Nothobranchius furzeri: one gene and its partner. The protein of the gene in region 2 interacts with the protein of the main gene of each other region in a biochemical or structural test. Links are inferred from orthologs where the notes say so. Each region holds a gene or a part of one and is shown on either strand. Other genes may lie near its edges. The genes, in order: nup43 and nup85.

Evidence for each region.
Region 1: the proteins of nup85 (region 2) and nup43 form a complex in vitro, tested with the Homo sapiens proteins (2 studies listed by BioGRID). The link is inferred for Nothobranchius furzeri from reciprocal best matches to the Homo sapiens genes NUP85 and NUP43.

Annotation. Positions count from the first base shown.
Region 1 is NC_091742.1:11,406,897-11,423,736, forward strand, and holds nup43 (nucleoporin Nup43), read right to left. Parts: upstream 10,380-16,840; 5' UTR 10,160-10,379; coding exon 10,046-10,159; intron 9,831-10,045; coding exon 9,708-9,830; intron 9,254-9,707; coding exon 9,176-9,253; intron 9,077-9,175; coding exon 8,914-9,076; intron 8,831-8,913; coding exon 8,695-8,830; intron 8,611-8,694; coding exon 8,459-8,610; intron 8,359-8,458; coding exon 8,238-8,358; intron 7,950-8,237; coding exon of another isoform or gene 7,946-7,949; coding exon 7,720-7,945; 3' UTR 7,451-7,719; downstream 1-7,450. Other genes in the region: serine/threonine-protein kinase LATS1, read right to left, coding at 527-1,021, 1,098-1,204, 1,402-1,584, 1,994-2,576, 3,061-4,352, 4,861-4,945, 5,356-5,688; pcmt (protein-L-isoaspartate(D-aspartate) O-methyltransferase), read left to right, coding at 10,523-10,703, 13,907-14,011, 14,091-14,122, 14,207-14,311, 14,476-14,596, 15,122-15,207. UniProt on the Homo sapiens protein: Component of the Nup107-160 subcomplex of the nuclear pore complex (NPC). The Nup107-160 subcomplex is required for the assembly of a functional NPC.
Region 2 is NC_091752.1:54,271,192-54,286,681, reverse strand, and holds the end of nup85 (nuclear pore complex protein Nup85), read right to left. Parts: intron 10,920-15,490; coding exon 10,797-10,919; intron 10,718-10,796; coding exon 10,586-10,717; intron 10,512-10,585; coding exon 10,408-10,511; intron 10,312-10,407; coding exon 10,228-10,311; intron 10,132-10,227; coding exon 10,066-10,131; intron 9,851-10,065; coding exon 9,699-9,850; intron 9,588-9,698; coding exon 9,470-9,587; intron 9,276-9,469; coding exon 9,175-9,275; intron 9,019-9,174; coding exon 8,867-9,018; intron 7,701-8,866; coding exon 7,599-7,700; intron 7,461-7,598; coding exon 7,362-7,460; 3' UTR 7,252-7,361; downstream 1-7,251. UniProt on the Homo sapiens protein: Essential component of the nuclear pore complex (NPC) that seems to be required for NPC assembly and maintenance. As part of the NPC Nup107-160 subcomplex plays a role in RNA export and in tethering NUP96/Nup98 and NUP153 to the nucleus.

The DNA of each region.
Region 1 (16,840 bases), on a different chromosome or scaffold from region 2:
AATATTAGATGTTTATTTACTAGCGGTTTTCCTGATTAGAGTCTGAAAATCCATAATCTGTGGTTCCACCTTCTCAAATGTGACACTTTGATATTTCCTTATACATGTTAACCCCCCCCCCCCCCCCCAAAAAAAAAACCAGATTTGGTGCGTTTCAGGTTTCTCTCGTCATTTCTTATAATCATCTTTCACAAGTCAGCAGATTTCAGTCTTCATGCTCTGCAGAGATAACTGACTCCAGGTCAGTTTCATAGTTGGAGATCAGGTGTTTCATTTTTAACTGTGATCTCGTGCTGCAGCGTTCTGAGTGCTCCTATAACCACACACTCCTATGTTTTAAATGCTTTATCATTGCAAACCCCTCCTCTCTCTCTCACTCTCACTCTCACGCACGCACACACACACACACACACACACACACACACACACACACACACACACACACACACACACACACACACACACACACACACACACACACACACACACACTTTCTATGTACAAGCAGCTTAGTGGGTTTCAGGATCTACACGTAGACCAGATCCCGGCCTTGTTTCCCGGCCTCGAGCTCCGCGCTCTCCATGTCCGCCTCGTCCTCGTCATAGCCCTCGTACTCGATGGGTTTGGGGCAGCTGTAAGGGTGGCCGTTGTCGTCAAAGAAGCGCCGGAAGGTAAACTCGTAGAAGGCGTGCTCGGGGTGCTTTCCTTTGCGGAACCAACAGCTCAGCGTGTCGTTGTGGTTGCCCTCGCCATTGCTGCTCCGCAGCTTTTCAGGGTCCACTGGGTCAAAGTTGGAGGTGTCTGTGGAATGAGCGATGGTGGGGACGTAGGGTGCCACCTGCTGTCTCAGGTCGCTGGAGAAGTCGATTCTTTTGAAGAATGGATGAGCTTTGATTTCATCTGCGCCGTTCTTACCAAGGCGATCCTCTGGGTCGCGGCAGAGTTTAACGATGAGATCCGACGCCTCTGGGGTGAGCTTGGCTTGAGGGGGGATGTGCAGCGTGCTCTTCCAGTTTATCACCTGGTTTCAACGAAAGAGACGCGGCTTTAAGGAACTCCGTGGCTGCAGAACATTTCACAGCAGGTGCCTCTCATACCTTCAGCTGCGTCTCCAGGGGTGTGCTCGCCAAGAAGGGAGGTTGTCCAACAACCATCTCGTACAGGATGACCCCAACGCTCCACCAATCACAGAGCTGAGTGTATCCTACAGTTATACAGGAAATGACATCACTAAAAGACGTTTGGAATTGATTTTCTTTTTCATCAAGATGTCAATATTTAGTTTCTCAGCTTTTATTTTGAAAAACAGAATAAAGCTGTTATTTACCATGATGTGGATTATTAGAGCAAAGATTTGAAGCAAAAATAACATAACTGAACATTTTTAAAGGAAAACTTTACCTGTTCGGAGCAGAACTTCTGGTGCGATGTAGTTGGGCGTTCCCACCAGTGAGTGGGCCAAACAGCGCTGGTGCTGCCGGGCCTTCCTCCTCTCCAGAGGCTTCAGACGCTCTGAACAGCGGCAGTTAGCTTGATCCTCCCACTCCTTACTGAAGTCCATGCTGTCCTGTCTCTCATGATCTCCTGCAGAGATAAACAGACACATAATTTAAGACTTAGACATCTTTATTTGATAATTCCTTGTTGCTAAATGATGCAATACTGATTTAAAATGTGCTTTTGTTGATGTAATTTGGATTTATATTATTGCGCTGTACATTGATAAACAGAAATGTTGAATTGCACGAATCCAAAACATGTCAACAGCCTCCCGGCTTCTACTTTTTAGGCTCAACCTGACCTGAGAGACACAAACGGCAAGATATCTGAAAACAAAAAGGAAGATTTTCTATTGTAAAATCTTTTTTCATCTGTTTGTATGTGAATTTGACAGGATAAATGTTAACATTACCATTGTTTTACAGTTTTCATTCTAAAAGCTTGACGTAGCGACAGAAAAACACCTAACAAGACACTGAGCTTTAGCACCCACCGCTCTGGTAATACTTGGAGTCGTGGGTCCAGCGGAAGCCTGTGCACAGACCAAAGTCGGTCAGCTTTATGTGTCCGTCTCTGTCTATCAGAATGTTGTCCGGCTTGATGTCTCTGTGGATGAAGCCCATCTTGTGGACACTCTCCACCGCACAAGTGAGCTCTGCGATGTAGAACTGGGCCAGCTCTTCTTTAAAGATGCCGAGCCGGATGAGGAGGCTCATCATGTCCCCCCCGGGGATATACTCCATGACAAAATACAAGTTCTCCTTGTCTTGGAAGGAGTAGTAGAGACGCACCACCCACTCGTTGTCGGCCTCGGCCAGGATGTCCCGCTCGGCTTTGACGTGGGCCACCTGGTTCCTCAGCAGCACGTCCTTTTTGCGAAGCGTCTTCATGGCGTACAGCGACCCCGTGTCCTCTTTTCTCGCCAAGCACACCTCGCCGAATGCTCCGATGCCGAGGGTTTTGATCCGCTTGAACATGGACTTATCCATTTTGGCGCGCATTTGACGGATGTAGTTGGACTCCTTCTGGTAGAGCATCATACGCATCTGCTTCTGGGCTTCGTACGACAAACCCACCTGAGGATGGGGACCATAAAAATAAATAAATGCAGCTTTCATGCAATCCATGTTAAAATGAGACGTTAGTAATGAATGGAAACGAGTGACACCACCACAAAACGAAGTGAAATCTATCTTTCCTGAAGTGTTAATGATCAATTTACCCCAAAACAAAAATGTGCGTGCAGTGCACGGAGGCGGCTGCGGGATGGCATGCCACTCTTCTCATGCTTTCACTCGATGCAGGAGAAAATACAGATATGAGACACTTGACACCTTACTTGTGTAACTGATGTGTGTTTGGGCTTTTCTGAGTCACAGCACAGGAAAAGATACTTTAACCTCCTAGGTCAGCTGCTTGTGACAGCAAGGAGAGAAAGGAAGAGAAAGAACAGCTAAGAAAAACTTAAAAGTGTGGAAAAGATCGGAGATTTACCAAGATAAGACGGGGAAACCAGGTCAAAAAGAGAAAAGGACAGTTTCTTTTCATAGATGGTCTCACCCTGTCCATTTCACACTCCAGCTGCTTCCTCCTCCGAATCCTCTGCTGATGGTTCTTCAGGATGTTCTCCATGTGTTGCTCCATAAAGAACTTGAAGGCTTGGGGGGAATACAGATTGACTCTCCCAGACTCCCCTCTGCGCTCCTCATCTTTCTTGTTGTTACGGCGAACAGGAACAGGTGATGTTGTGATTTGTTTCCTCTCCTTCTCCGCTGCCGTGGTGCTTTCAAGACTTTCTGACACCTTCTCCCTGGAGGCGTCTCCACTGCTGCCGCTGCTGCAGCTCCTCTCCTCCTCAGGACTCTCCTCTCTACCCGCAACAAGCTTATTGGCTGCAGCGTCGTACGCAGGGGGCGAGGGTGCAGCCGGCTGCTGTAGGAGGTGTTTAGGGTACGGTGGAGGAGGGCCTATATAGTTTGGTGCCTCTAGTGCTGTGGGGATCTGAGGGACCTGAGGTGAAGGTTCTGGGTAAGCAGGCGCAGCTGGAGATGCTGAAAGGTGCTGCTTCCATGGAGGATGTGTGGGAGCGACGGCAGTGTGTAGCTCTGGTTTCTGGACTTGCGTGCTCGACACCGGCTGCAGGATGGGAGCCTGAGTGATGGCCGTGACCGTAGTGGCAGAGGGCTGGGAGCTGGCTTGATGAGCAGGTCTGCCGTTGAGCTGGTGGTTGTTAAATGAGTTTGAGCGGACTGGCACGTTCTGCTGCCATGACGGGGACAGGTCCTGGTTGCTGTTGCTCCAGTTAGACACCAGCATGGGAGGAGGGATGTTTCCACCGTTGACGTACGAAGGAGAGGATGCCGGCTGCTCGGTGGGACTGTGTCGGCTGCTCTGGTTGACTGGGTATGGAGGAGGGGGTTGTCTACTGCTCCCTGGTATGTAGTCCTGTTGAGCGGAGCCATTCTGAGTCCGAGTGGAAGGAGAAGTGAATTTATTCCCTGAACTTTGCATTATGATAGGCTGGTGAACTACGGGCCCTGGGTTGGCCCCGCGTTGATTCTGAGGAGGTGGATTTGGGTACCCATCAGGCCGAGCTCCTTGGGGAACTGGAGAGATTCGTGGAACAAAGTACTCCACATTCCCAGACCAGCGCTTGGTTGATGGGTTGTTGTCCCAGGGAGAATTAGAAGCCGCGACACCGCGGAGTGGTGGGTAGACAGGAGGTGGCCCGGGGCTGTCGGGGCGGTACACCATCCCATCTGCCATGTGAGGACCGAGGCGGGGAGCGAGGGCCTCCTTAGAGCCCTTCCAGCTAGGCCTCCTGAGCACCACCTGCTGCATGTGAGAAGATCCTACACGACAGTAAAGATCTTGTCAGATTTAAGTGAAGAACAAAGACAACTTAAACTAGGATTTCACTGGGCTGTGACTGTAGGCGGCAAAAGGAAAATACATAAAAATATAGAAAAAAAAGTTTTCTACAAATCGTCTCAGAAGAGATGCTCATGACGCCCCTCGCGGCCTGGCCATGTAAAGAAGCTGTCATAAGTGTCGTGTAGGCACTTCCGAGCGACTAAGAATCTTTTTACACAATTACTTATATTATCAGTATCACATAACAGTGGAAATTACAACCGATACTACAGATGCATCTGTGTTCCCTCTACGTATATAATACCAGCGAGAGCATGAATAAGCACCAAAACCCTCCGTTCTGTTCTGTTATGAAGCTGTACAGTGACTCATGTTTGGAAGCAGGTACTGTCACCATCCTGATCCCTGCAAACAATATGAGGGCTGAGTCCAAAGGTCATGTAGAAGAAAGAAGGAAAACTAACACGGATCCCAGAGGACTGTTACCTGGAGCTTTCAGGCCTGAAGAGCTGGTGTTAGCAGCCATGACCGGCTCCCTCATCTGGTCCTGGTAGTTGGTCGCACCGCGACGCTACGGAGGCCAAAGTAGATCCATTAAGAAATTCCTTCTTCATGCAATGACTTATAATTTCTAATCTACAATAAAAATGATTAGAAAATTAACAAAAGATGTTTATAATTTAAAAGAATAAAACAATCTAATTTTCCCAAGACTGTTGCTTTTCACCCTCTGAACACGGTTGAACCCGCGCACCTGCGCTGCCTACCATGATACTTTTCATCATGTACTCACGCAAACCAGACGCTTGTTATTTCACATTGCATACCTAGCATTTCCCAAATAACTGCCCTCTAAACACAGTGCAGCAGGTGATTATCTTCTATTACAAAGGCACGAACAGAATGAGAACCTGTCACAATTCCTCATTAAGAATGTGTTTATGAGGGCAAAAGGGATAAACTCTTAATAACTCCGCTTACCTCCTCAAACCCGGCGCATGGTTGCTCCAGACACATCGGTTTGTTAATGTCTGAAGTGCTTGATGAACCATTCACCTCGTAGGGCACCAGGGACTTGCGAATCTCCTGTAATGCCTTATGGTGCTTGGGATTGCTGGAGCGCCTTGGATCTTCAGGAGCCATCTTTCCGTGTCCGCCGTTGTCCACTTTAGAAGAATCAGAAGGTTTGGACATGTCGCGCAGACTTTTTCGGATTTCCATCAGCATTTGCTGGCTGTTGCCGCTGCAGTTGCCGACCGGTAATATTTTGGGCCTCATCTGTCTGTATCCTTCGGGTTTCTCCCCCCTCCTCATGTACGAGCATGTATGATGATGACGATGATAAAAGGGATGGAGAGGATATCACCAATCCAGGGTGGCGACAATAGCGGACGTTTTCCCGATGTCTGACCTCACATCTATGTGCTGCAGCGGAAAATATTTGATGCCAGTTGAAAGTGAGATAAACAAGCAACCAGAGTACACATAATGTTACCAAACAGGTTCAGCAAAATGAGATTGAGAGAAGTAATTAACAGAGCCCAACTTATTTCTTTACCAGAACGTTCCTACATATTTTACATTTCAGATCTACTTTCATTCTTGAGCTCAAATGTTAAGATATTTCTGCCATTTTTAAAATGTAAAGATATGAACATTTACTGTAAATTTACAGTAACAAGGTCTGTATACTATAAATAAAAATCACCACTGACTGTGCAAAACAACAACAAGGATTTCTGGGAATTTCCCCTAAATAAAACTAGTTATCTGTTTTTAATAAGCTTGTATTCCTAATGAAAAAGTCTAATTTGATTAAAGATCAGGTGTATATTTAAAGCTATTTCCACTTAGATCAACATAGAGCTCTGAAAATGTTTGGGTGAACTTGTGATAAGTTGAAAACAGTGAGGGAAACATGTGGAAAGTGATCATTTAGAAAAGTTTTACAATACAATTCGTTTTTAATCAAATTAAAACCTTCCAGAAAATAAAGTCTAGGAACACACACGTTTTCTATATTTTGTTCTCAATAATTAATGATCTGGAAATACTCAAAACATATAAGATACTTTTTCATGCCTCTCAATCCTTTTGTAAATAAATAACCTGTTTCTGTCACGCTTGGAAGTCATGTGTTGATAAAAAAATAGTTATGATTGTTTATCGTTTACTTTTGAGTGAAATTCGGCGTACGTAAATTTTAAGGTAAAAAATGTCTCGATTGGAACTGACTTCATTAAAAGACCCCATTCCGTGTGTATAGCCTCCTTAGCACTCTATGCTAACATAACGCTAATTTTACGTAAATTCTCCGGCGTTGGGTACGGATTTTTGTCACAATTAAACGTTTATAAGGATAGTCAAAAGAGTGGGCGAATACTGAGTTTAAGAGTTTTAAAAAGGATTAAAATCAAACAACACAGCAGTTTTCAAGCGGCCTGTGTGTAATAGGAATCCATTTGATGCTATTCAACAACAGGTTGCGCATTAGCCTGCTAGCTCCGATAACAACAACTCACCAAAGTCCGCCGCTGTCGCTTTTCCTATTATTAACGGACAGTAGTGGTTTGCTGACCCTCCTCGGCGTCGAGGACGCGATTTGAAGTTAAAATGCCCTTGTTGTTCCGCGCCGACTGGTTCCTAGTCTTGTTGAATTCCTGGGATATCTGAATGACAAGTACAACAGCTAAGCTAACGACGCACCATCAGACGCTGGACTTTCACAATAAAAGTCAGTGGAGAAATTACTTTTTTGCTAAGTTTAGAACAAAATAACACTAATAAAACTAATGAAGAAAATTTTAATGCTTTTTTTTATAAGTTTTTTTTTGCTAACCTGTTAATGAAGTCCAAACACATTTCACAGCACAAATCTTAGAAATAAAAAAATAAGAGCATTAATATGTATAAAAATAAATCAATTTCCCTTTGGGTGAGCACATAACATCTATTTGTAAATTTACAGAGCAACATAAGAGCTCACAAGGCTGACTTTGACATTTTTATGTTGGTAGGTTTGATTTACAATTTTACTTGATTTGTCAGTATAAAAAAACGTAACATCCTGAGACAATTTGAGAAAGTTACATTTTATTTCTTTATTGTTTTTTAAGTAATCTGTACAAAACATTATTAATCTGAACAATTGTGTACAGAATGACATACAAAAACACTAATCCATATTCTGTCACTGCAAAGAATGAAGCATTGCATCAGACACAGAGGTCTTTCATTGCGTAGGTATATTGGCTTTTTGTGTAACAAAAAAAAAGTCTTCCAATGTGTCACAAAACATCAAATTAAAATTTGCATTCATGTATTTATTAGTCACCTCCAGATCTTTTAAACTGGGACCTGTTTGTTGATAAAAATAGCCTCTCCATCAGTTCCACAAACTAAGCACTGTCCAAGCACATCCAAGCTGTTGACAGACAGCGTCTGGCTGGGCAGCATGTGGGTCGTCTCCAGGCGGCTTTTACTGGAGTCTCCGTTGAGCCAGGCACTGATGAGGGACTGGTTTCCTCCAGCAAGGGCCATCGCACTGCGAGAGGTCACGCTGCTGTTTCTGCTACCTGGAAACACAACAATAACACTTTTTACAGTGAAATTACGACAAATAGTACAACATGACAATGTTTAATAGACTGACCTGGTGTTGGACATTATCAGGAAATTCTTTGTTTATTTAACCCTAAATAATGTAAACTTTCAGTAAAACATTCAACTGGATATTTTCTTGATTATGGCTTTTGTGTTTCCATAGAATCTTTATAATTAAGAAAATAGAAGAAGTACATAGGCAGCCTTTTAAACTGAATACCAATAATAATAATAATAATGATTATTATGATGAATAGGACTTGCCTTGTAGAAAGGAGGGCATGTCTGAGTGGGAGGACGTCTCCCAGTGCAGCAGCGATCCATCCTCTGAACACGTGAACAGGTGATCTGGGTTGGTAGGGTGGAAGTGGACCTCCCACACTGCCAGGAAAGTTAGACAAAAAGCATTAAAAAAGTGAAAAATATTTAAATATGTGTGTAAATTATATGTCCATTAAATAATTAAAAATGTACATCTTACTTTCAGCTGAGTGGGCCTCCATGAGGGATGAGGGCATGCTGCCTTGCCTCACATCCCACATACAGAGCATTCCATCCTGGCCTCCTGTGGCTACAATGTGCTGCTGGTTTGGATGTCTGTCAATGCAGTACAAAGGAACTCTGTCTCCTGACCTGATTGGAGGAAAATTAAAATCCACATACATCAGCAAAATAGTAGAATTAAAAATGGGGAAAACGTGCTAAAGCGGATCTTACAAGGACAGAATCTGTGATGCCGAGTTGCTCTGTTGTCTTAGATCCCATAGCTTTATTTGTCCGATGGAGTTCACAGTCAAAATCTCCGTCGTCCTCAGGTAAGTCACAGCATGAATCGTGCTGCTGTCAGCATTCTCTACCAAATGTACCCGCAAAAGCATGTTGACTTGACACCGAGTTAAAGTGTACAGAGTTCTGAATGGGGTGGTTTAATCTCACCTATGACTTGAGCCATACAATCCTGGTCGGCTCTGAGGACAATAATCCTGCCGTCCTCCCCAACTGTGATGATCTCAGGGCTGCTGCACACAACTGCAGTGCAGGGAGCATTGTCACAGGGGTAATGGTGCGCTTTCACCCACTGCTGGGAAACTGAGATTGTCTGATGTAAGAAGAAAAAATGATTTTATAAATAAACAGCAAAGGCAGCAACACAACCTTCATACAGGAGTTGACATCTTTTATGAAAGCTCTACTGCACCTGACTGTTGTGATGGTGGCGGAAGATGGTGACTGCTCCCGTTGATGAGGCCGTGACGATTCTCTCTTGATCCAGGAACTATAATCAAGTAGTATAATCAAGTCTAATTTGGAGGAATTGGACAGCTGAAGCTCGACTAAAACTGAGTCATGCAAAACAATGTCCCACGCACGTGTCAAAATTTCAACAGAATGGCTGCAAAACAAATGAGTCTGTGTTGCAAATCCTCCTGCTGACTATAACAAGGCTGTGCACTGAGAAATCCTGCAGACCTACAAAGAAACAAAACTATTGATGCATAGAACAACAGATTTGCCTTCTGTATTAGCAAAATTCTGAAATGCGCAGAAAATGTACTTTATTTGTTTTTATGTGCATCTCTGCAGGGTTCATTGTTGTTTTAATTTCTTTAAAGTGCGTACAGCACTTTGGTCTGTCTTCTGGTCGATGTAAAGTGCTTTATAAATAAAGTTGATGGTGATGAATAATTGCATTATTAGTATGTTATGACATTATTGTTACAGCGTCTTACCTGGAGGCCAAGAACATCTCCATCGTGCTTGTTTTCACAAATAAGCTGCGGATCTCCTTCAAATCCATCTTCCAGGCCCGAATTTTCGTAATTACCCACGGACCAAATAGATATCTTGTTTTCCTACAGAAATAATTTTTTTTTTAAATAAAGGCCACATCCTTGCAAAAAAAATGACCAAAACGAACCTGACAGACACACAAAAAAGCAAACTATGTGTAACAAGTGTTAAATCCTTTTTGACAGTTACAACGTGTAAGTGTGCATAATCAGGAGAAACACAGAACATTTGAAAAACTGGGTAAATTTGGTTCACCAAAAATATTCAACTAGCCAACCTCGTTGTCCCACGATCCCGTCGCAAAGATTTCTGGTTGTTGTAAAAACGAAGACGACACAGGACGCCATCTGGCCTTGCTGACTTTTTGGGACACGTACTTAGCACTCTCCATGAGAACAACCAACGTTTCTGCTGCCTAAATACGAAAAATATTCTTATTGATGTTAGCTTAGCTCTATGTACGCACCCACTAGCTTTAAACGTAAGTACGGTGGCTCAACAGGATCAAACAATCTGATCTGCGTTTCTCGCAAGAAATGTGAATTTGTACATTCCGCCACCTAGCGGTCGTCTCCGTTGTTACTGCGGCAAAAACCTGATAAAGCACTGCATGGCTGAGGAACGTGGCTTTTATTCCCTTTCGTCTGACGCTGACTTTGATGCATCATGAACAGATTAATTATATTCTAAAATGACATATTTTTCTGCTTGGTCGTGCATCTGAGAGGCGGCTCTGCTCTGTAAAATCATTTGGATGTCTAGTGACGTATCCGCCGCTACGCCGTCTGCTCTGGAGGTTGTCAGCTTCTTTGGTAAAACTATTGGCGCAGGCGCGGCACTTACAGCTGCTGTCTACTTACTCCGTAAAGTCTGCTTAATAATGGCCTGGAAATCTGGAGGAGCCAGCCACGCAGAGCTTGTCAACAACCTTCGCAGTGAGTCCGGTTGCAGGTTTAAAGCGGCAGCAGCGATGAACTTCACCGCCGCGTCGCCAGAAAACGTTGTAGTTTGGAGGCTGGGGTTAGCTTAGGAGCGGTAGCTACTAGCAAGCTATGTTTATGGTGACCCAGCGTCTCCTCCCGCCTCTCCACCCCTTTTCCTAAACCACGTTTTTCGCTGTGGGACCATGTGTGGGACAAGGCAACGCTTTTGTCACAGCAGGGGGGAAAAACCCAGCAGAAATGACATTTCCGTTTTGTTGTAAATCGCAGAAAAGTGGTGTCCTGTGGGAAGTTAGCTTAGCATGTTAGCAGTATGTGCGTCATTTGAGATTTTATGCTACTGCCCACTGTCATTGATGTCTGTGTCTTCTACTGGACTTCAATGTGAATGACAGTAACAGCTGTACATGTCCGGATAGTTTCTGCTGAGCTTTAATACTCGGATACATTTAAATAATGACAAGTTGCTGTATCACTGCAGCTGTTAGCTACATAGCTCTGTGCCAAAGCCCACGACTCATTTCCATTTAAGAAGCCTGATTGTTGAACATTTTCAAATTTCTGTGCATATATTTTAGCTGATGTCTTTCCATGGACATTTAATATCCTTTCACAATATTTTAATAAGAAATCGATCAACCTTAGTCGATCTGCAGAAATCAAAACAGTTTCTTTATTGTTTGCACACATTACAACCTGCAAAATGTGTTTTAAATTATCAAACAAAAAAGTCAGAGTAATTTTGAGAATTTTGTAGGAGGGTGTGCCTAGCGTCAGCTTGGCTTTCTGGGCTTATAGACACGACCTATTTTTCCAGTTTATATCTAGTTACCAGTTCAGATCTTGTTTTTTTATATTCTAAATTAATAAAAGTTTATTCATGTAACCAGCCTGTCAAAAAGACAAACTATGAAGTAAAGAAAACTGTAATGCTGGCATAGAAGTAGGGATGTAAAAGTCAACCGAAACCAGGAACCGATACCAATGCAGTTGCCTGAAAGTGGCTTCACCATAACTTGTCATTTCTGTTCACCTAATATTTCAGTTTTGTGATCATTTCTATGAATATATTTTATTTTTTATCTACCTCACAATCTTTTCCTGTTGAAAGCAGAGAAGAAAATAAAACCTGTATTCCAATTCATTGCATTATTTGTGTGGTAGAAGTATCGGCGAGTACTCAGATCCAAGTATCAGTATCGTATCGGTTTGGACAAAAGTGGTATCGGTGGATCCCAAGTATGCTAAAAGACATACAGTGTCATTTCCTGGTTCTCCAGGACAACAATCCAGCACATTTTAGACATTTCTGTTTCAACACACCTGATTAACAGGTTTCTCTGGACCTTGATGACATGTCTAAAAGGTAATATAACCACTGAAAATCATTACAATAGCAAAAGCATCCTGGTTATTGTTCCAGGAAGACCAGGATTGGACACAACTAGTGCAAGAGGAACCCCTGACAATTGTCTTTATGGTGTTTTTGTGATCAAATAAAAGAAAAAAATGTCCTAACACCTTCTGTTGCCTTTGCAAAATACTGTACATCAGTAAAAGATGGATGACTTAGCTGTTACGTGGTCCAGAGTCCACTATAATCAACATCATGGCTTCCTCTGCAGTCAGTCAATGATGACTACTGTAAAAATATCTTTAGACTCTTTTTCTAGTGCATTTAGCAAATGAAGATGGGATATCTGCAAGCGCGATACTGCAAATTAATTCTCACTCTTAAGTATCTACCAGGTCTATTTGTATTGTGTGCAGTCTGGGATGTTATTGCAAGCTGCAAGTTTGCCAAAAGCTGCGTTGTTATTCACTGTGTTATATTTTCATTTATAGGGAAATTAACGTAAGTTATACAGAGTTTACATTTTTAGCAGCTCACAAGTTTGCAAAGCTGTGCAAAAATAACATTTATTAAATTGAAAGCCTTTAAAAGAAAGTCGTTACTTTGATAATTTTTAAATCAAATTGGTTAATCTTACAAAAGCAGAAGCATAAAAATAAACAAATAAAAGGTTTGATTCGTAGTAATCAGTTTTTCTTTTCTCTTTTTTGCCTCTTGTGGTCTGACCTGTATAGACATTTAACCCAGAGTTTGCATAAGATGCTTTTAAAGAGGTCACATGCAGAACGCATGCTAATTCACCGCTAACTTACTTTCCTGGTAAATAAAGGCAGTTTGGACTGTCTCCAAAGCCTCACCTGTTTCACTGGGCTGCCTCCAAATTTTAACATAAATAAAATCATGGTGGACAGCCAGCAAATAAATTCGTGTTATTTTTTTATTTGTAAATATGAAAGAAAACGACAGGAAGGAAGCAGCTCAAATGGTTTATTGATCATTTAAATGTCAGAAATCAGTGGTGGGTGTCTATTTGGCAGTTTTATTTGGAGTGTGTCCTAAAGCTGCGCGTTGCTCCGTGGGTGAGGGGAGCGAGGAATGAGAACCGCCTGCTGTTGGCTTTTTCTGTTTTTGGCACAAGGTGCTGCAGTGATTGAGGATGGATTCAAATTTGAATTAATCAACAGTTTTTGCATCCTTTCGGCTTCTTTTCAGCTCCAAACACGGATTATTAACTTTGTGTGGTCGGTGCAGCCTGTTTTTTAGCTGCTGTTTATAGTTTATCTGACATGTCCACAAGAATTGGTCTTGGTTTCTAGTTGGGGGTGCTGTAATATGCAAATGTATGACTTTTCATAGTTTTTCCCCCTCAATTTTCAAGAATAAAGCAATGATATCTTATTGTATTTTAGTGAAAATGTGTTCAATTTTTGCATTTTTTCAGTATCTAAATTATTACTTTTATAAATGTTTTATTCTGTTTTAGATTCACCTGACTGTCGTTAGCCACCAGGGGTTTTTGCTGTAGGTGTTGTGGTTAGAGCTTTCTCCCACATTATGTATTCATTTATATAATGCAACACAAATCGGGTGTTTTTTTTTAATGGGGGAAAACGTGTGCACAACAACACATCCAGTTTGGCGCTATGCAGTCGTTCTTATTGAGTTGGTGATAATTCGCAGTGTTGAACGTGTTGCAGCGCCCTCTAAGCAGCAGCAGCAGTAATTGTGGTGGTTTGTTTCTTTTCTGCATCAACCCTTCTGCCCTTCGGCTGCAGGATTATGTAACGTCTCTCTGCTCGCGTTTCCAGAACACGCCGTGACACAAACTCTTTTGCATCCTCAGAAAATGGCATTATTAAGTCCGACAAGGTGTTTGAAGTCATGCTGGCCACAGACCGAGCGCACTACTCGAGGTGTAACGCATACATGGACTCGCCACAGTCTATAGGTAGGTGTGTTCACGGATCATCGACGCGTGGCAGTTGGACATCAGAGGATAAACTAATCCTTCCTTCTTTTATCAACAGGCTATCAAGCAACCATCAGCGCACCGCACATGGTAGGCTGTTTCTGCACTCTCAATCTTCTGTTTTAGTTAAATTACCGAGACTTCATTTGTGCTTGCCCCCCACCCCTCACCCAGCACGCCTATGCACTGGAGCTCCTACATGATCAGCTGTGCGAGGGCGCCAAAGCTCTGGACGTCGGCTCCGGCAGCGGGATCCTGTCTGTTTGCTTTGCACGAATGGTGAGCCCACACACATGACGGGTAAACACATACGAGTTCTCCTTGGCAGCGCTGTGATGTGTTCGCTGAACCAATCGCTGTAGAGGATTTAAGAATCACGACGGTTCGAATTGACGTTTTGAGCTTAACACTGTCGTCTTCTGGGCTTTTCTTTCCTTTTCTAGGTAGGTCCTAAAGGAAAAGTTGTAGGAATCGATCACATCAAAGAGCTGGTAGACGATTCTATAAACAATGTGAAGAAAGATGACCCCAGCTTGATAACGTCAGGCCGAGTCAAGCTAATAGGTAAGATGGATTCAGGATTAGAGTTTAATTTGGACTTTTTGAACCTGCTGAAGAGCGTGCGTTGCTCCTTACCGGTGGAAAATCTCCCGTTTGCCCGATAGGCCGTCTGCAGCGCTAAATAATTGAGCAGAGCAGCGAGTTCCTACTTTCACCTTCTCAGCAGGAGGCTTGAAGCGCTCTTACAGCCAGGTCATTCACCAACGCAGGCAGACACTCGTGTTCCTCTGTAGGGCTGCGACGAATCAGAAGTGACTTCTATATGACATCACAACACATTTACATTCCCTCGTGTGCACCGCAAAGTAGGTAACGGGGGAACCTTGTTTTGCAGCAATAATCTGCACAGAAGATTCTAGATAGTAGCTAATAAAAGAAATGGGTTATTTAGATTTCTCTGCTTAAATTGGTGAAAAGTCGCCAGCTCTAGGAACAGCAGCGGCAGCAGATTTTTGGACGAGTGACGAATCTGTCCGTGTTGTGTCGAGGCTGGCAGCCTGGAACTGATACCCTGCGGTGTGTTTTCAGTGGGAGACGGGCGAATGGGACACCCAGAGGAGGCGCCGTATGACGCCATCCATGTTGGTGCAGCAGCTTCCAACGTCCCCCAAGCTGTGAGTCATTCGGAATATTTTAGGTTCTGTTGGAATCATGACGCTGGAGGTTTACCCGAAGCATTGACATAATTATTGTTGTTTTGTTATTATTGTGTTGTAAGATCAGTTATAGTTGAGGTTGATGCAGAAAGCGTCTAAAACCTATAAGATCTGGGATCTAAACATTTTTTCTTTCAGTATTTTAGAGTAGATGTTTCATATTTTTTGCATCTAATGGATAATATTAGTGCACTTTTGTTTTGCACTAAACTAAATTCTACATTCTCTATATTTTATACAAATATTTATAATTTGTTCATGCTCTAAAAAGTGTGATGGTTACTAAACTAGTTTACTGTTAGCTGTGTTTTTGTACCAGGCACTCTGATGCAGGCTGTCAGGTCTCTGTATGACCAGCGCCAGAGCTTGGTCCATATTGTCAGCAGGAAGTCGGGCTCTTTTGACCTTTGTCACCGATTCTGTTCATAACTTTTGTGGACAGGATTTCTAGGCACAGCCGAGGTGTTGGGGGGTGGGGGTGGGGGGTGGGGGGGGTCCGTTTTGGTGGCCTGAGGTTCAGATCTCTGCATGATCTCCGGCTCTCATTGGAGCGGTTCACAGCCGAGTGTGAAGCAGCTGGGATGAGAATCAGCTCCTCTAAATCTGAGACCATGGTCGAGTCGGAAAGGGTAGAATGCCTTCTCCGGGTCAGGGATGAGGTTCTGCCCCAAGTGGAGGAGTTGAAAGAGCAAGTCACCCCCTACCAGAATCTTACTCAACTCTCAGTTCCTGTTTGAAAAATGCAGCAAATGCTGTTGCCTGGGAGACCGAGAGGGAGGAACCGCTAACAAATACACACACAGATTCACGACATTGTGACATCTTAATGCACAAGCTAATGTAGTAGGGTACCTCTTAGCCACTAGCGGTGGCAGATTTAAATTAAAATGCAGTGCAGAGTTTTTACCTGAAGAGGGCGCAACACTGACAGTCTTAGGCAGAATATTTAAATTTTAACTAAGATGCACTGAAGTGCCAGATTATTGACTACACGTGTGTACAGCACGGTTAGACTCATTTGTACAGTTTATCACCAAAAAAAGTTGATTAGGGTCTTGTTCCCATGTGAGGGAACGATGGAGCGTGAGATCGATAGGCGGATTGGTGCTGCATCTGCAGTGATGTGAGCGTTGTACCGATCTGTTGTGGTGAAGAGAGAGCCGAGCCGGAAGGCAAAGCTCTCGATTTACTAGTCAGTCTACGTTCCTACCCTCACCTATGGTCACGACGTTTGGTAGGGCTGCTCGATTATGGCAAAAATAATAATCACGATTATGGTGACTGAAATTGAGATCACGATTATTTGGGACGATTTTTCTATTTATGTTGATTTTATTTGTTTTTATTCAGTCATAAAATTGCTCAGGGCACAATCAGGACAAAAATAAATAAGAAACAAGATGATCACTAAAATAACTCCTGATTCCAGTATAAAAAGACCGATATACTTTTAGCCCATAGTCTATGACCCAAGGGCTGTAGACCTTGGTTTAACTCATTAATGTCTAACCAGTACAGATCCAAATACCAATATCTTGCAAATACTGACAGCAAAAATGATACAGTGGCATTTATAACAAATAAATGCAAA
Region 2 (15,490 bases):
GTTCTTCAGTTTTCCTCGAAGTCCTCGCTCAGTTCCTGTGGAGTTGCTGGCGTCTCCCACACCGGTAGGGATGTTGGCGTGTACGTCATGCGGGGCTCCCCTCCAGGTGGAGGATGGCCACGACTTGTGTCCAAAGTGTCTGGGCGTCAGTCACCTCAGAGAGGCGCTGACTGACCCATGCATGAACTGCAGCATTTTGCCGCTGGCAGTGCGGGAGGACAGGCTACGTCAAGTAGAGTGCCTCCTGTTTGAGTTGGACCTGCCGCCCTCTGGTATCCCTCATCCGTGTTCCGGGAGATGGAGGGATAGACCGGCTGAGGAACGCGGCAGCCCGAGGCGCAAGAAGTGGCGTGTGGCGCACCCCTCTCGCCAGGAAGTGGACACTTTGCGGGCGGAGGTGGAACAGCTCAAAGCGCTGCTGACCAGAGCCCCGGACGAGGGGGGCTCGGATTACCTGATCTCTATGAGGGCCTCAAATTCCGAGTTTCAGTCCCTCGAGGAGGAGGGCCCCTCTCCGGGTTGTAGTCAGGGGCTGGTAGTAGAGCCCCCGGGCCTGGGAGGTCACGGAGACTCTGGGATGTCCCTCCATAGCTCAGCAAGCTCGGAGCTGGCGGAGGACTCTTGTCAGTTGCGGATGATTTTGCGAGCAGCACTGGCCAGGATTGGACTGGACGACGTGCCGGTGGCCCATCCGGCGGGGAATCCCTTCTTCTGCCGGGCTCCGGCGGCGCCCCCATTTCAGGTCCCACCATCGCCGGCCTTTGTGGAAGAGCTGCAGCGGTGCTGGGAGGACCCGAGACAGCTCTCCCACCATGGTAGGGATGCCAGGACCCTGGCATCGATGCGGGAGGCAGGAACCTACGGGTTGGACCGCATGCCAGCGGTGGACCACTGCGTTGCTTCTTTGGTGCTCTCCCCGGATGAGGCATTGAGGGACAGGGTCCGCTGTCCGAGCACCCAGTGTCGGGTGACCGACAGATTACTGTGCCGGGCTTACGACATCGGGGCAAGGATGGCACGCACCAGCAATTCGCTGTCGGTGCTGTTGCTAGCCCAGTCCCTGATGCTGCAGTCGGGCGCAGCGGGGATGGCACTGGGCAATACAAACGACGCAGCCCTGCAAGCATTTGGGCTGATGTCCAGGGAGCTTGGTCGGTTGTTGGGCACACTGGTAGTGGCTCGCCGTCAGGTCTGGTTGGCACAGGCCCTGGTGTCGGATGACTGCCGACAGAGCCTGCGCGGACTGCCCGTGGTGCCTGGCCAGTTGTTCGGGCCTGAGGCTGAGAGGGCGTTGGAATGTCGGCGGCAGTCCAGACAGGCCGCAGAGGCCTGGAGTGGGCGTAGCGGGGCAGGGATCCTCCCCGTGCCACAGTCCAGGCCACAAGGGGCACGGGACCCTCGGCGCCGGTTTTGTCTGGCCGCCCCCTTTCAGGCCACCCAGCAGACCGCGGCAGGGGCTTGGAGACGCTCTGGGGCAGGTCAGGCACCACCCCAGGGATCCTCGGGGCAGGACAGGGGCCGCCGCCCCACAGGGCCCCAAACAGACGTCGGGACCCGGCCTGAGGGCTGTGGGCCGGCGGCGGGCAGATTTACACCACAGCACCTAGCACTCTGGGAGGCCCAATGCGGAGATGCTTGGGTGGTTCGAACCATGTCCCAGGGCTACAGGTTGCAGTTCCACCGTCGGGCCCCACCCCCTTCGGGGGTCAGTGTGACTTTGGTCACAGATCCTGCACGGGTCAGCAACGGGCCATAGAGGTCGTTCCGCCGCATTTGCAGGCAGACGGCTTTTATTCGACGTATTTCTTGGTGTCGAAGAAGGACGGGCCCCTGCGCCCGGTACTGTACCTCAGGGGTCTCAATCGGTTCCTGAAGGTGCTGCCCTTCCGCATGCTTCGGACTCGCGATGTCCTTCAGGTGGTTTGTCCGGGAGAGTGGTTTACGAGCATAGATCTCAAGGACGCATACTTCCATGTCCCGATCCATCCGGGGCACAGGAAGTACCTGCGGTTTTCTTTCCTCAGGAGGGTGTACCAGTTTCTGGTTCTGCCGTTCGGCTTGTCCCTCGCCCCCCGAGTTTTCATGCGGTGCGTGAAGGCAGCCCTGAGCCCCCTGTGTCGGTCGGGGTTGAAGTTCCTGCCATATCTCGACGACTGGCTCGTCTGCGCGCCGTCGTGTCGCGAAATGGGTCCGGCCACAGCCAGGGTCCTTGCCCACGTCGAGGCGCTGGGGATGACGGTGAACCTGCAGAAGAGTTCTCTGGTTCCGACTCAGCGGGTGGATTTTATTGGCATTGCCATAGATTCTGTGGCCATGCGGGCGAGGCTGACCGAGCAGAGGAGGGTCCGGATTCAGTCTTTGCTCTGGGCTTTTCGCCTTGGGGCGGCACCCCCGGTCCAGGTGTGGCTACGACTGTTGGGGATGCTGGTCTCGGCTTCTGCACTGGTGCCTCTAGGGCTGCTCCACCTTAGGCCCTTGCAGAGGTGGTTCAACGGCTTCCGCCTGGATCCCCAGCGACACCGAAGGGTCGAGCTGGAGGTCACGAGCAGCTGTGTGGCTCTTTTGCGTCATTGGGACGATGTCACCTACCTGAATCTCGGCGTGCCGCTTGGCGTGGTTCCCGCTAGACGGGAGGTGGTCACGACGGATGCGTCACCCCGGGGGTGGGGGGCGCATTGGCAGTGCAGGTCGGTCCAGGGGTTGTGGAGCCCCCGTCAGGCACGGCTTCACATCAATGTCCTGGAATTGAAGACCGTCTACTTGGCGCTGAGGCGCTTCTTGCCCTTTCTGCGGGGCAAGCATGTGCTCATCTGAATGGACAGCACCTCGGCAGTGTTCCACATAAACCATCAGGGGGACACCAGGTCATTGCGATTGTTGAGGGAGGCTCAGACGCTGTTGACCTGGGCTTACCCTTGCTTGGCCTCCGTCAGGGCACTGCACCTTCCGGGGTGGAGGAACTCGGTGGCGGATTGCCTGTCCCGGCGGGGTCTTCCCCCGGAGGAATGGAGGTTGCACCCTCAGGTGTTGCAGAGGGTGTGGCATCAGCTCGGAGAGGCCCAGGTGGATCTGTTTGCCTCGAGGAGCAGCACGCATTGCCCCTTGTGGTCCTCCCTGGCAGAGGCCGACGCCCCTCTGGGGATGGATGCCCTCGCACATGCCTGGCCGTTGGTTCGGCTGTACGCTTTCCCACCTTTCCCATTGATCTTACCAACCCTCCATCGGATGAGGGACTCGTCACACGAGGTCCTTCTGGTGGCGCCAGACTGGCCCATGAGGGTCTGGTTTCCATTGCTTCTCAGTCTGCTGAACGGGGAGCCGTGGCGGTTGCCGGCGAGACGGGACCTCCTGTCTCAGATGGAGGGGAGGATTTGGCATCCGTCCCCAGATCATCTTCGGCTCACGGTGTGGCCATTGAAGGGGGCAGACAGCCCCTAGTCGGCTTAGAGCCCTCCATCCAGCAGGTGCTGGATAGTGCCAGGGCTCTGTCTACAAGGGCCACGTACGCTCGCTGTTGGCAGCGGTTCTCTACCTGGTGTTCCGGCAGGAACGTGGACCCTGGTTCTTGTTCCCTGCATGAGGTTCTGCGGTACCTCCGGCACCTGTTTGACAAGGGCCGGGCCACCTCGACCCTTAAGGTACACCTGGCAGCTATTTCGGCCAACCACCTCTTGGTGGATGGCAGGAGCATTGGGGCTCACTGTTTGGTGACCCAGTTTCTGTGGGGCGTGAGAAGGTTGCATCCTGCCTTGTGCAGGCCGGCACCTGCTTGGGACCTTCCCCTGGTCCTGCAGGCCCTGTGTGGGCCACCCTTTGTGCTGATGACTACCGCCCCGTTGACAGTGGTGTCTGTGAAAACCGCCTTTCTCTTGGCAGTGACGTCGGCTAAATGGGTCAGTGAGCTGCACGCACTGGACATCAGACCCGCCTGCCTGCGGTGGAAGGCAGATGGGTCGGGGGTGACACTGTGGCCCAACGTTGCCTTTCTTCCCAAGGTTCTGCCCTCTGGCTACGTAAATGCCGCAATCGAGCTGGGGGCGTTTTTCCCTCCCCCATTTCATTCGGAGGGACAAAGGCGGGCGAATTTGCTGTGCCCGGTCTGGGCACTGCAGCTCTATATTGTGGCCACAAACACTGTCCGGCATTCGAACCAGCTGTTTGTCTGTCACAGAGGAGTGAACAGGGGTCGGGCCCTTTCGAAGCAGAGGCTGTCGCATTGGATCGTGGATGCCATTGCGACGGCTTATGCGGCAGTGGGTGCAGTGGCTCCCCCTGGGATCGTGTGCCATTCCACCAGGAGTGTTGCTACATCCTGGGCGGCGATGAGAGGTGTGCCACTGGCGGACGTCCGTGCTGCGGCGTCCTGGGCAACTCCGTGCACGTTTGCACGCTTCTACCGCCTCAACGTTGGCCACGGGTCCACGCTCGCTTCGGTGGTGCTGCCTCTGGCGGCTACCTCCTGAGTGAAGGTGAGTTTTATGTTCCTTGTGACACTGCTGTCATAAGTCATCCACTCTGTTTACTGCCACTGGCAGTCAGGAGGGAACGAAACAGAACGGAAGTTACTGTGTAACTATGGTTCTGAGTTCCTGGATAACTGCCAGTTACAGGAGTCACTCGGAACTTCTCGGGCGAGAAGATCCTGGGAGACCCGAACGTAGCTATCGGCGCGTAATTTATAGACTTGTTTACATTAGTACTCAACCTGCGCAGAGCGCGAGGAGATACATCCACTCTGTTTACTGCACTGGCAGTCATCCAGGAACTCACAGAACCATATAGTTACACCGTAACTTCCGTTAACCGTGGTGTTTTTGTATTTATCAGTGTGATTAGGGTGTATTTGTATTGTTTTTGAGTAAGAATATGAGTGAATGTTGTTTTTGTGCAGTGAATGTTATGTATCAAAGCTAAAAGTGAAGGCAAGAAGAAGAGCTGTTGATTCGTTGAGTTCCCGCAGCTGAATGAGCTCTTATAGCTGTTTTACAGCCCTTTATATAGCCGGTATGTGATGATATACAGGTATAAGTTTTAATTTAATTTTATTTAAATTCTAATAATTCAAATTTAAATATCTTTTGATAGGAAGGTCATAGCGTAACAGGACCAAGTCCTGCCCCCCTAAATCACATACAGGCTTTACGTTGTGCACTCCAATTTGTTGTACGAGCTTTCGTTCCTGAGATACGCCCACTTTCACGTCACGTTTTGTGTATCACAGGAACTAAAGCTCGTAGAGACAAGTGGACACTTCTGGTGTGCTCAAAAGTGTTGCTATGTCAGAGCATGGTTGCAGTGCGCTGCAACCTTGCATTCCGGAGATACATGCGGTATTAACATTCACTCATGTTCTTACTTATCTTACAACATTACGTCGTGGAGCCATGGGACCAAGCTGTACTCCCACTAAGCATGGAATCACGCATCCAATGGTGCCCTCTATTTCCTCGTCCTTTCCTTCAGATTTTAACGTCACCAAATCTCAAACTTTGATTGAGAGTAACTCTGGAACGGTACCTCGTAGAGCTATGGAACCAAGGTCTACCTGGTCCAACCTGGTCATTGCACATGCAGTGGTACCACCCGTAAGACTTTCCCTTTCCAAATTACTGTCAGACTTCATCAAAATCATGCTCGAATATGTCTGGACAGGAAGATTGTGCAGCCACGGGAATCTTTTCCCTCAATACCAGCCACGGGCTTTCCAGTGGTGTCATCCGCATTGTTCTATGACCTCCCATTGCCGAGATATCGAATCTCAAAACCAGGTATTAACCAGGTCCGAGTATTAACGAGGACTCCCTGCTTACGTTCCAATATGACCCAACGTCTACTACTGCAATGGGGATTTTTCAGGTGGCCATAACTCTTGATAGGAACGTCACAGTGTCACGGGACCCACCTCTACCCCCCTAAATCGGCCCTGGGCTTTCTAACGACCTTCCCTTTCTGAGGTATGACCAGACCAATGTCTTTTTATTGATCTGTCAAAAGCCTTTGACACTGTAGACCATGTGTTATCATGTTGTGTCCCTTTGGTCCCCAGCCCCCTCCTGGTTTCCCTCATGTTCCCCCAGTCACTTCACTTGTTTTTAGTTTTCTATATGTTCAGATGATCTAGTCCCAGATAGCAAAAAACATTATTTCAATGTTTATTCAACCAATTCTTGCTATCTGGGGTCTTATCTCCTTTAGTGTGTTGGGTTTCCTTCCCTATTTAGGTCATTAGTTTACTTATCTTTAAATCTCCTGTGTCTTTGTTCTACAGTGTTTAGGTTTATTTTAGTTTAGTAGCTTTGTTTTACAGGATTTAGATAGTTTTCTCCCCTGCTTGTTTCTGCTCCTTCTCTCAGTTCATTAGTCTCACCTGTGCCCAATTTCCTTAATCATCCAGCCCCTGTGTATATAACCGTCTTGTCTCTGTGTTTTGTTGGTCCGTTGTCTTGTCAGCGTTGTTCTAGTTTCCCTTCTGTGCTCGCTAGGTTCCTGCTCATAAGTTTGACCTTTTGTTTTGGCTTTCAGTGGTTTGTATGCGAGGCTTAGATTCAAGCCCTTTGGATTTTTTGCAACTCCTCCTAAATAAAGGATTCTTATTTTTGCAATCACTCCTGCCTGTGTATCTCTGGGTTCTTGCATTTTGGGTTCAAGCCTCCTGCCCTCAACGTGTAAATGCTGTTTTAAAACAAAAGCTTCTTTGTTTGGGATTGTCTGAACATGCAATCCCATTGTTCACAGACTACTTCAAGGACATAACTCAATGCCTTAATTGTGATGGGTTGTCCTCTGAATTTTTTAGTGTTCACAAGGGAGTACCACAGGGCTCAGTCTTGGGACCCCTCTTGTTCATTATGTATATCAATGACTTATTACAAAATGTGTCAGATGCTTATATGCACTTTTACACTGATGACACAATCATTTACTGCTTTGGAACTTCCCCCACTAAAGCAGTTGAATTCTTACAGAAAGCTTTTGGTCCAACAAACACTTTGTAAAAATTTGAGCTAAACATATTTGGAATATAATTCATGAGAAGGGTCAATAACTGGAAAAATGAGATTGTTTTCATAAGAAAAGGGATCAGTTGAACTGTAATGACCCTGTTTAATAAAACACAGCTGCTGTTTTTGTGTCGTGTTGCGTGAACGTGATTTTTTTTGTTTACAGTTAAATAATTTAAAACAATTTGATATGTTTGATATTTTGATTTATTCTAATAATTTCCCAAAAATGATTTAGAAACAACGTAAGTGAACGGAATGAAGAGATATTTATTATCAAAAAACAAACATTTGATGACTTGATCTTATTAACAGTACAAAAATGCAAAAGAAGAGCTTGTTTTTAAATCTGAATCTACTTTATGTCTGCATTGTTCCTTCTTTCACAATAGCTGAAGCCAGATTTCTGGCCAGGGCGAGTCTCAGCATCTCCACCTTGGTCACCTCTACGTCTTCCTCCTGAAAACAGAAAGACAGATTTTAAACGTGGAAACGGCAGTAGATAATCACTTTAACATCAAACTGGGTTTGGTTTGTGTTAAAACTATGAAACAGGAATGTCCAGCTGCTGGGACGAGCTGAAAGAAGAATAAAGACCTGCATGGGTCTGCCTGATCCAGAAGCAGCAGTGATCAGAGAGGAGGTGAGCTCCTCTAAGCAGTACATCAACTCATAGGTTTGCTCTGCAGAGAAGATCACCTGAAAACAAGGAGAACAAGTTACTCCACTGAAACTCCAACTGTTCGGATTTTTTCATCCACATAATAAAAAATGACAAATAGCTCAATTTTTGATATGCTAACTCTTACAAGAAACATGTTTAGTAGTCAGTTGGTTTAAATGGTAACTAGGCAGTTTTAGCACCCCCAAGAAATCTCCTCGCTGTGCGTTCGTCTTTTTAACACCTTAATCTAACAGCTGAAATGACTCCTCAGCCTTCATTAGTGTCTACAGGAGTGAGTCGTCACCAAATCAAACATATCAGATGTGTTCCCGATCCAAAACATGCAGGAAGCAGACTGCAGCGCCAGGTGTGTCAGCTCAATTTTTTACCGGCACTCTGGGGTTGCAAGTGGGATATTCTGCCACATGGGGGGGTGGGGGGGGGGGGAGAGATGATAGGAGCTGTGTGGCCTTTAATTAACCTCAAAAAGGGTCATTTTAGCACAAACTGGCTCAAGAAAATGACTTCAAAATATGAAAAAGTTGCAAAGTGCCCCTTTAATAAAACAGGGGTAGTAATGTTCACATTAAAAATAACATACGGTAGTGTGTCACTCAAAAAAACTACATAAATTAATTAATTTTTAATGATGAATAAAAAGTTCCACAAATACCTACTTAAAGATAGATATTACTTATTCTATTTGTGCAGCATTTTTCATGCACACAAAACTCTGACCAGGAGGTCACAAATGATCTTAAACAGGATCAAAACATTCATTTAACAACATCTGAATGCTCCAGATTTGTGCATTTAACCCTCTGATGCATGAATTATGAGATCTTCAACCATGATTTTTTAAACAATTTGTTTCATTCATCTTTAGGTGTGAATTAAACAAATTTCAACAAATATTCTTTGTAACATTTTGTTAATTTACAAATACTTTATTACATGTCTATCTCAGTGGACAGCGTGCATTCTGAACATGAAATATGTTGGCTTGCCTTACTGAAGTCCAACTGGAGAGGCTCACATGCAATAAAGTCTTCAACAGCTGTGCTTAATAGCAAAAATAAATAAATAACTATTTTGAGTACCTGTCCACTGTAGTGACCATTATGCATCAAAGGGATAAACTAAAGTTCTTGATTTTGTAATAACAAATCTACTTTAAACCGATGTTCAGGTGTGGACTGACCTCTTTCTGCTCCAGCAGAGGCAGAGCATCCGTCAGCAGCGTCATCCAGAAGCTTTGGGGAGCGATTTTAGCCGTCATGAGGGAGAGTAGCAGCTTTGCAGCATCGCTGAAGCACTTCTCTCCGTACAGCTTGTGGAACTCACGGTATTTTCCTGGAGAGAATCATTTCTATCAAATCATCCTCCAGAAATTCTCACCATCACATGTTGTTGCATCAAGCGGATACTGGTTCTGTTTCTATTAGTCTTGTGTGTGTGTGTGTGTGTGTGTGTGTGTGTGTGTGTGTGTGTGTGTGTTCAGGCTCCTACCAAGGAAGGTTAGCCTGTCGCTGAGCAGCATGGTTGAGCCCAGGTTGTCGATCAGATCCAGATCAGAGAAGGTGCCTTTGGCGCAGTAATCCTGCAGGAACCTAAAACACAAACACAAAAACAACTTCAAATCATTTTCAGAGAGAAAGACATTTAGTGAACTAATAAGCCCAACAGTGATACTTATAAAAAGCTTAAGAAGCATGTAGGTAAAAGTTAAATGTGTTCCTGGAGAATGAAGATGAAGCTGTCAGTTGTGTATATTTCAGTAAGAGCACCACTAAAGGGATGTGACCTCTCTGAAATCAGGGTGGCAAACGCAGCATCTTTGGCTCGGATGCTCCAGGAGAGAGCAGAGCCCAGTCGGTTGTTCCTTACAGCCCGCATGGCCATGATCTTACAGATGCTCCGCACTGGGACCAAAACAACAAAAAACAAACCAGGTCAAGCTTTTCCAGCCTAGCTTACACCAGAGAGATTAGCTTTGTGACACAAACTGATAAAAAGGACGACCGAGCCCCTACCCTGCTCTGACATCTGCCTCTCCTCACAAATTCGGAGCACTTTGAGCGCTTTGCGCTCCGTGTCCAAAGGAACTCGCTCGATCTGCAGCTCCAGATAGACGCGGCCAAATTCTGGGCAGTGATCGAAATAATCCACGGCACACTGCCAGAGACTAAAAACACACAGAAACATCTGGTTAGTGAACGCTAAAATAACAGAGAACGACTCATATTTCAATGTTTGGATCCAGTTCGATGATTGCAGGACATTTTTTTGTCGTCGTTGATTTTCTGTGTGACTGAAACCCAAAACACAAGTGTGCCACTAGACAGTCCCTCAGGTGTAAACATGTTACTGTGTGGTTAAACGGTCACAAGGGAGCCATACCTGTGATGCGTGAACAGACCAGAGGCGTATTCTAACAGCAGGAACTCTCTCAAGTTGGATCCAAAACTACATACACACACACACACACACACAGATTAGATTAATTAACTGTGTAATTTTATCCTCTCTGGATTAAAACCAGATAAAAGAAATCATCCCTACTGGAGATTATGAGACTGGAGGAGTTTGCAGTGATCCAACAGGTCTGTTAAATGAGCCACAAACCACCAGTTGTTGAGAGCAATACTGCGGGGACAAGGGAGACGCCGACCGTTCAAGGACTCGTGAACTGACTTGTTAAGCACCTTGAATGTGATTAATATGGTAGACCCTGTCGGTTACCTGCAGTCCTTGATGACCTGATGAATGTCAAACTCAAAGGCAGCCAGCAGGATGCTGTCCAACGGCTCCGGCACGCCCGAATCCAGAAACATCATCATAGACGACTGCAGACGACACAAACACACGGGTCAGGTAAACTACATGTGCTCAGAGTCAGTGCTGCAGACTCGGGGGCTACCTGAGCGTAGTAATGCAACTCTGTGGGCTTCACTGTGGGATGGCAGTAGAGGAGTCTGGTGATGAGGAAGTAGTACCAGGTGCTGAGAAGTTCCTTGTGCTCCAACAACACGTCTTCATCCCCCAGTAGGATCTAAGGTTGCATCAACACCCTGTTTGATTCAGTTCACATCAGAAAACGTGACCAAACCACAACTCAAGCTGTCACTGACTTTGCAGATGACCTCCAGGTGTTGGTTGCTTGCAAATGAGTTATCCTTCAGGTAGCGGTCCACCTCCTCGTGCCAGTTCCTCCACTTCACATCAAACTCTGTTAGTGTCTGAGTGCCGCCAGGCTGAGAGGGGTTTTTGGAAAATGTAGGAAATAAAATCAGCAGAGTCATGTTTTAATATTTAACAATAAGCAGAAGTTTAAAATCCAAGTTCACTTGCTTTCAATACATTAGCAGTGATCACTAGTGTAGACAAATGCCTTTAGAGTCAATCACTGTGGAGAAATAGCTCCGGTGCTCCTGTTTCAGGAACAAGAAGTTAGCCAGAGGAGTAAAGAACAGAAGAATGAGGGTTTATTAAATAAGTTCATTTTGTCTTTGTTATAAAATAAAATTACTTCTTTTTTTAATAAGACAGTTTAAAGAAAACATTTTAGAAGCCTGAGGGCTTTGGAGTCTTATTTCCTGATGCTCTGACATTTCAGCAACACGACTCTATCACTGACTGTTACCGTTGCAACATTGATTTTATCCCAAATAACACAAGCCTGGAGGAGTTCTGCTGTGTTGTGGAGTTACTAATGCTAACGGTTAGCTTCTACTAGTCTCTGCCGCTTCCTGGACACTAAACCAACAACAGCCGTAATGAGCCACGATGAATGCTAAGTTACAGTGTGACAGAGATCTTTGTGGCTTTTCTGATCCAAGCGTTTCCACGTCAGTTTTCTATTGAGAGTCTTGATAAGTTTTCTCCTCAGTGAGGCCCACCACATGTGTCCTGGACCCTATTCCCACTAGTTTTTTTTAAACAATTCTGATTCTTTTAGAGATGCGGTTTTAACTATGATGAATTGCTCTCTTCAGACGGGGGTCTTTCCTGCCGCTTTTAAATGGGCGGTGGTGAGGCCCCTGCTGAAGAAGAGCAATTTAGGTTTTAATGACTTAAACAATTATCAACCGGTTTCCAACTTACCATTTTTAAGCAAAATTTTTAGAAAAGCTTGTTTTAATTCAACACCCATAATATCTTAGAAAAATTTCAGTCTGGTTTTAGGGTGAACCACAGCACCAAGATGGCCCTTCTGAAGATTTTAAATAATTTTAGAGTAAATTATGCTAAACGGAAGGTGACTGTGTTGGTTCTCCTGGATCTAAGTGCTGCCTTTGATACAGTAGTATTCCTTTAACTCTGAAACGGATCGGCCGATGGTTCACTTCCTACCTCACAGACAGGACTTTTATGGTGAGTTTGGATACCTGATCCTCTAGGGTTCACGGGATTACATGTGGTGTGCCCCAGGGTTCAATTTTAGGCCCAGTGCTTTTTAACCTTTATATGCTCCCTCTTGGCAGTGTCATCAGGACACATGGGGTGAATTTCCACAGTTACGCGGATGATACACAGCTGTACATCTTGGTGTCTCCTGATGACACACAGTCAATGGATGCACTTTTTAACTGCATTTTAGACATCAAATCCTGAATGGCAGGAAACTTTCTCCAGCTTAACCAGGACAAAACTGAAGTTTTAGTAATCGTCCTGAGGCCCAGAGAAAGAAACTTTTACCAAAACTGCAATCAATGCCTTTTAATCCATCTTCACAAGTGAAGAACCTGGGTGTCATCTTTGACTCTGAGCGGACTTTTATCCATCATACCATACCATACATTTATAAAGCACATTTAAAAACGGCATGGCAGCCGACCAAAGTGCTGTACAGAATAAAAAGTAAAAACACAATATAAAACAATACACAGTCAACAATAAAATGCACAACAAGGCAGATAATCACGGTCAATAAAAGACACATAATAAAATAATAAAAGTCAGGGATTTAAAAATGCCTGGTCATAAAAGTGAGCCTTAAGTAGCGACTTGAACCGGAGGAGGGATGGTGCCAGCCTCACTGAAAGAGGAAGAGCATTCCAGAGTGTCGGAGCAGCATAGACAAAAGCACGCTGCCCCCGCGTTTTGCATTCCATTGTTGGAACGCAAAGCAGCAGGCAATCAGCAGACCTCAACGCCCGGTTTGGCACATAACGAGTCCAGGGTATATACAGCAATCCTTAAGTAAAATTTACTACTTTTTAATACCTTTTTTACTACCTTCAGAATTTTTTTAAAACCATCACAACACTAAATTGCAAGTGTTAATCAGCGACCTATTTACACATATTTTAACATATATAACATACAAAAAGAATAGACTTAGAGACTCACTGATGTTGACAACGTATTGCGCATATTTATTTTACTTAGAAAATAAGCCAGGCACTTCTGTTCAGCGGTTCAGACAGTTGACCACGGGGCCTGAAATGATGCAGAACCACTGAATATGACGTCATCATAATGTGACCGGATATGCTAAAGTAGGGCTGCTCGATTATGGCAAAAACAATAATCACGATTATTGTGACTGAAATTGAGATCTCGATTATTTAAGACGATTTTTCAATTTATGTAGATTTTTTTTTTATTCAGTCATAAAACTGCTCAGGGCACAATCAGGGCAAAAATAAACAAAAAACAAGATGATCACTAAAAGAACTCCTGATTCCCAGTATAAAAAGACCAATATACTCATAGCTCATAGTTTATGACCCAAGGGCTATAGACCTTGGTTTAACTCATTTAAGTCTAACCAGTACAGACCCAAATACCAATATCTTGCAAATACTGACAGCAAGAATTATACAGTGGCATTTATAACAAATAAATGCAAATAAATTGATGTTCACAAAATGTTGCATAACATTTATTTAGCCATGTCAATGTGCTGTAGGAGCATGCACTAGCACCGTGTCCTCAGAGAGATTAGTTATTAGTTATCAGCGTGAGGAACTTATTTCTACCTTATTTATAAACTATTTATTTACAGGCCCATCAGTTAATGTAATAATTGTCCCAACCACAGCTGCACCCCCCACCCCCCAACCCGGTCTCACAGCAATCGGGGCAAGCTGCACGTGTGTTTAGCACGCTGCACGCGCACATTTAGCTGTTTTTAGTTGCTCAGGAGTCCGCAGGTACAGTGTGTGTCACTCACTCTGGTTACTCCAACAGGGAGACGGCTCCGAGAGCCGTTTTTTTAGCGACTGACACATCACTACATCATTCCCTTTCCTAATGTCCTGAAGAACGGTCCGGAGCGCAGGCGGAGTGTTTAGCTAACCTGCAGGAAATGTCGACGACAGTTATCCAGAAAGTAGCTAAGGGTTACCAGAGATGTTTCTGAGGTGTTCGCTAGGTACTTTTAAGATTTAAAAAGTCAAGAAGGGGGTCTGAAAAGCTGCTAGAAATAGCATCAAAGTCGCTAAGTTGGCAACGGAGCGCTTCATTTGTAACAGGGCAGCTCAAGTGGGAGGAGCAAATAATCGGCTTGTTTTATTTTTATAATCGTTCAAAACATTTCATTCGGAATATATTTCTATGTCGATGTTCAGAATACGACACCTGATAGTCTGAAAAAAATAATACCTAACTTGGAAAAAATAATACCTCTGAGTCCAAATTTAACACTTTTAATGGCCTTAAATTTGACTATTTTTATTTATCAATTTTTAATACTTTTTAAAACCCCGCGGACACCCTGGAGTCACAAGATCAGAGAGGTAATCCGGAGCCAGACCGTTCAAAGTCAGGATTTTAAACTTGACTCTGAAGTTTACAGGTAGCCAGTGGAGCCGCGCCAGTACAGGTGTGATATGGTCTCTTCTAGGGGTGTTTGTTAAAAACCTGGCTGCCGCATTCTGTACGACCTGAAGCCTGAGCGGAGGCAGGTAAACCAATTAAAATGGAATTTGCATAATCCAGTCGGGAGATGAAAAAAGCATGAATTACAGATTCCAGGTGTGCTCGTTTCAGGATCGGTTTTAAGCGGACTAGTCTGCGCAGCTGATAAAAACACGATCTGACCACTGCGTTAATCTGAGGGCCCATGGAAAAGTTTGTATCCATTTTCACCCCAAGGTTGGTAACACACTGCTTGAGGTCATATGGGAGAGTGGCCAAATCAGAAGATACGTGTGTGGTTTTGTTAGGGGTCATCAGGAGTGCCTCCGACTTAGAATCATTCAGCTTAAGGAAATTGTTGGCAAGCCAAACCCTCACTTCAGCCACACATTGGTCCAGAAGAGAGAGGGAGCCTGGTTTGTTCAAAGCCAGGTAGATCTGGCAATCATCTGCATAAATATGATAGCCCAAGCAATATTTCCTCCGGATGAAATCCAGGGGGAGGATGTAAATTGAAAACAGGAGAGCCCAAGCACAGATCCCTGCGGGACTCCCCATGGAAGTGGAAGGAATGTAGAGGAACAATTACCCAACTGAACCTTGAAAACTCTGTTTGACAGGTATGAGCAGAACCACTGAAGTGAGGTACCCCTAAGCCCTACCCATGACTCAAGTCTATCCAGCAATATATCGTGGTCAACGGTATCAAATGCTGCAGAAAGATCTAATAGTAGGAGTAAAACAGGCGACCCAGAGTCAGAAGCCACCAGGATGTCATTGGTCACGCGAAGAAGGGCTGATTCAGTACTGTGAAGTGGCCTAAACCCAGACTGGAACACATCAACCAGAGAAAAGCTATTCATGTGTGCTGTAATCTGTGAATAATCTTTTCGAGGACCTTAGACTAAAACGGTAATTTAGAGATTGGCCGAAAGTTTGCAAGGTTTGAGCTGTCCATACC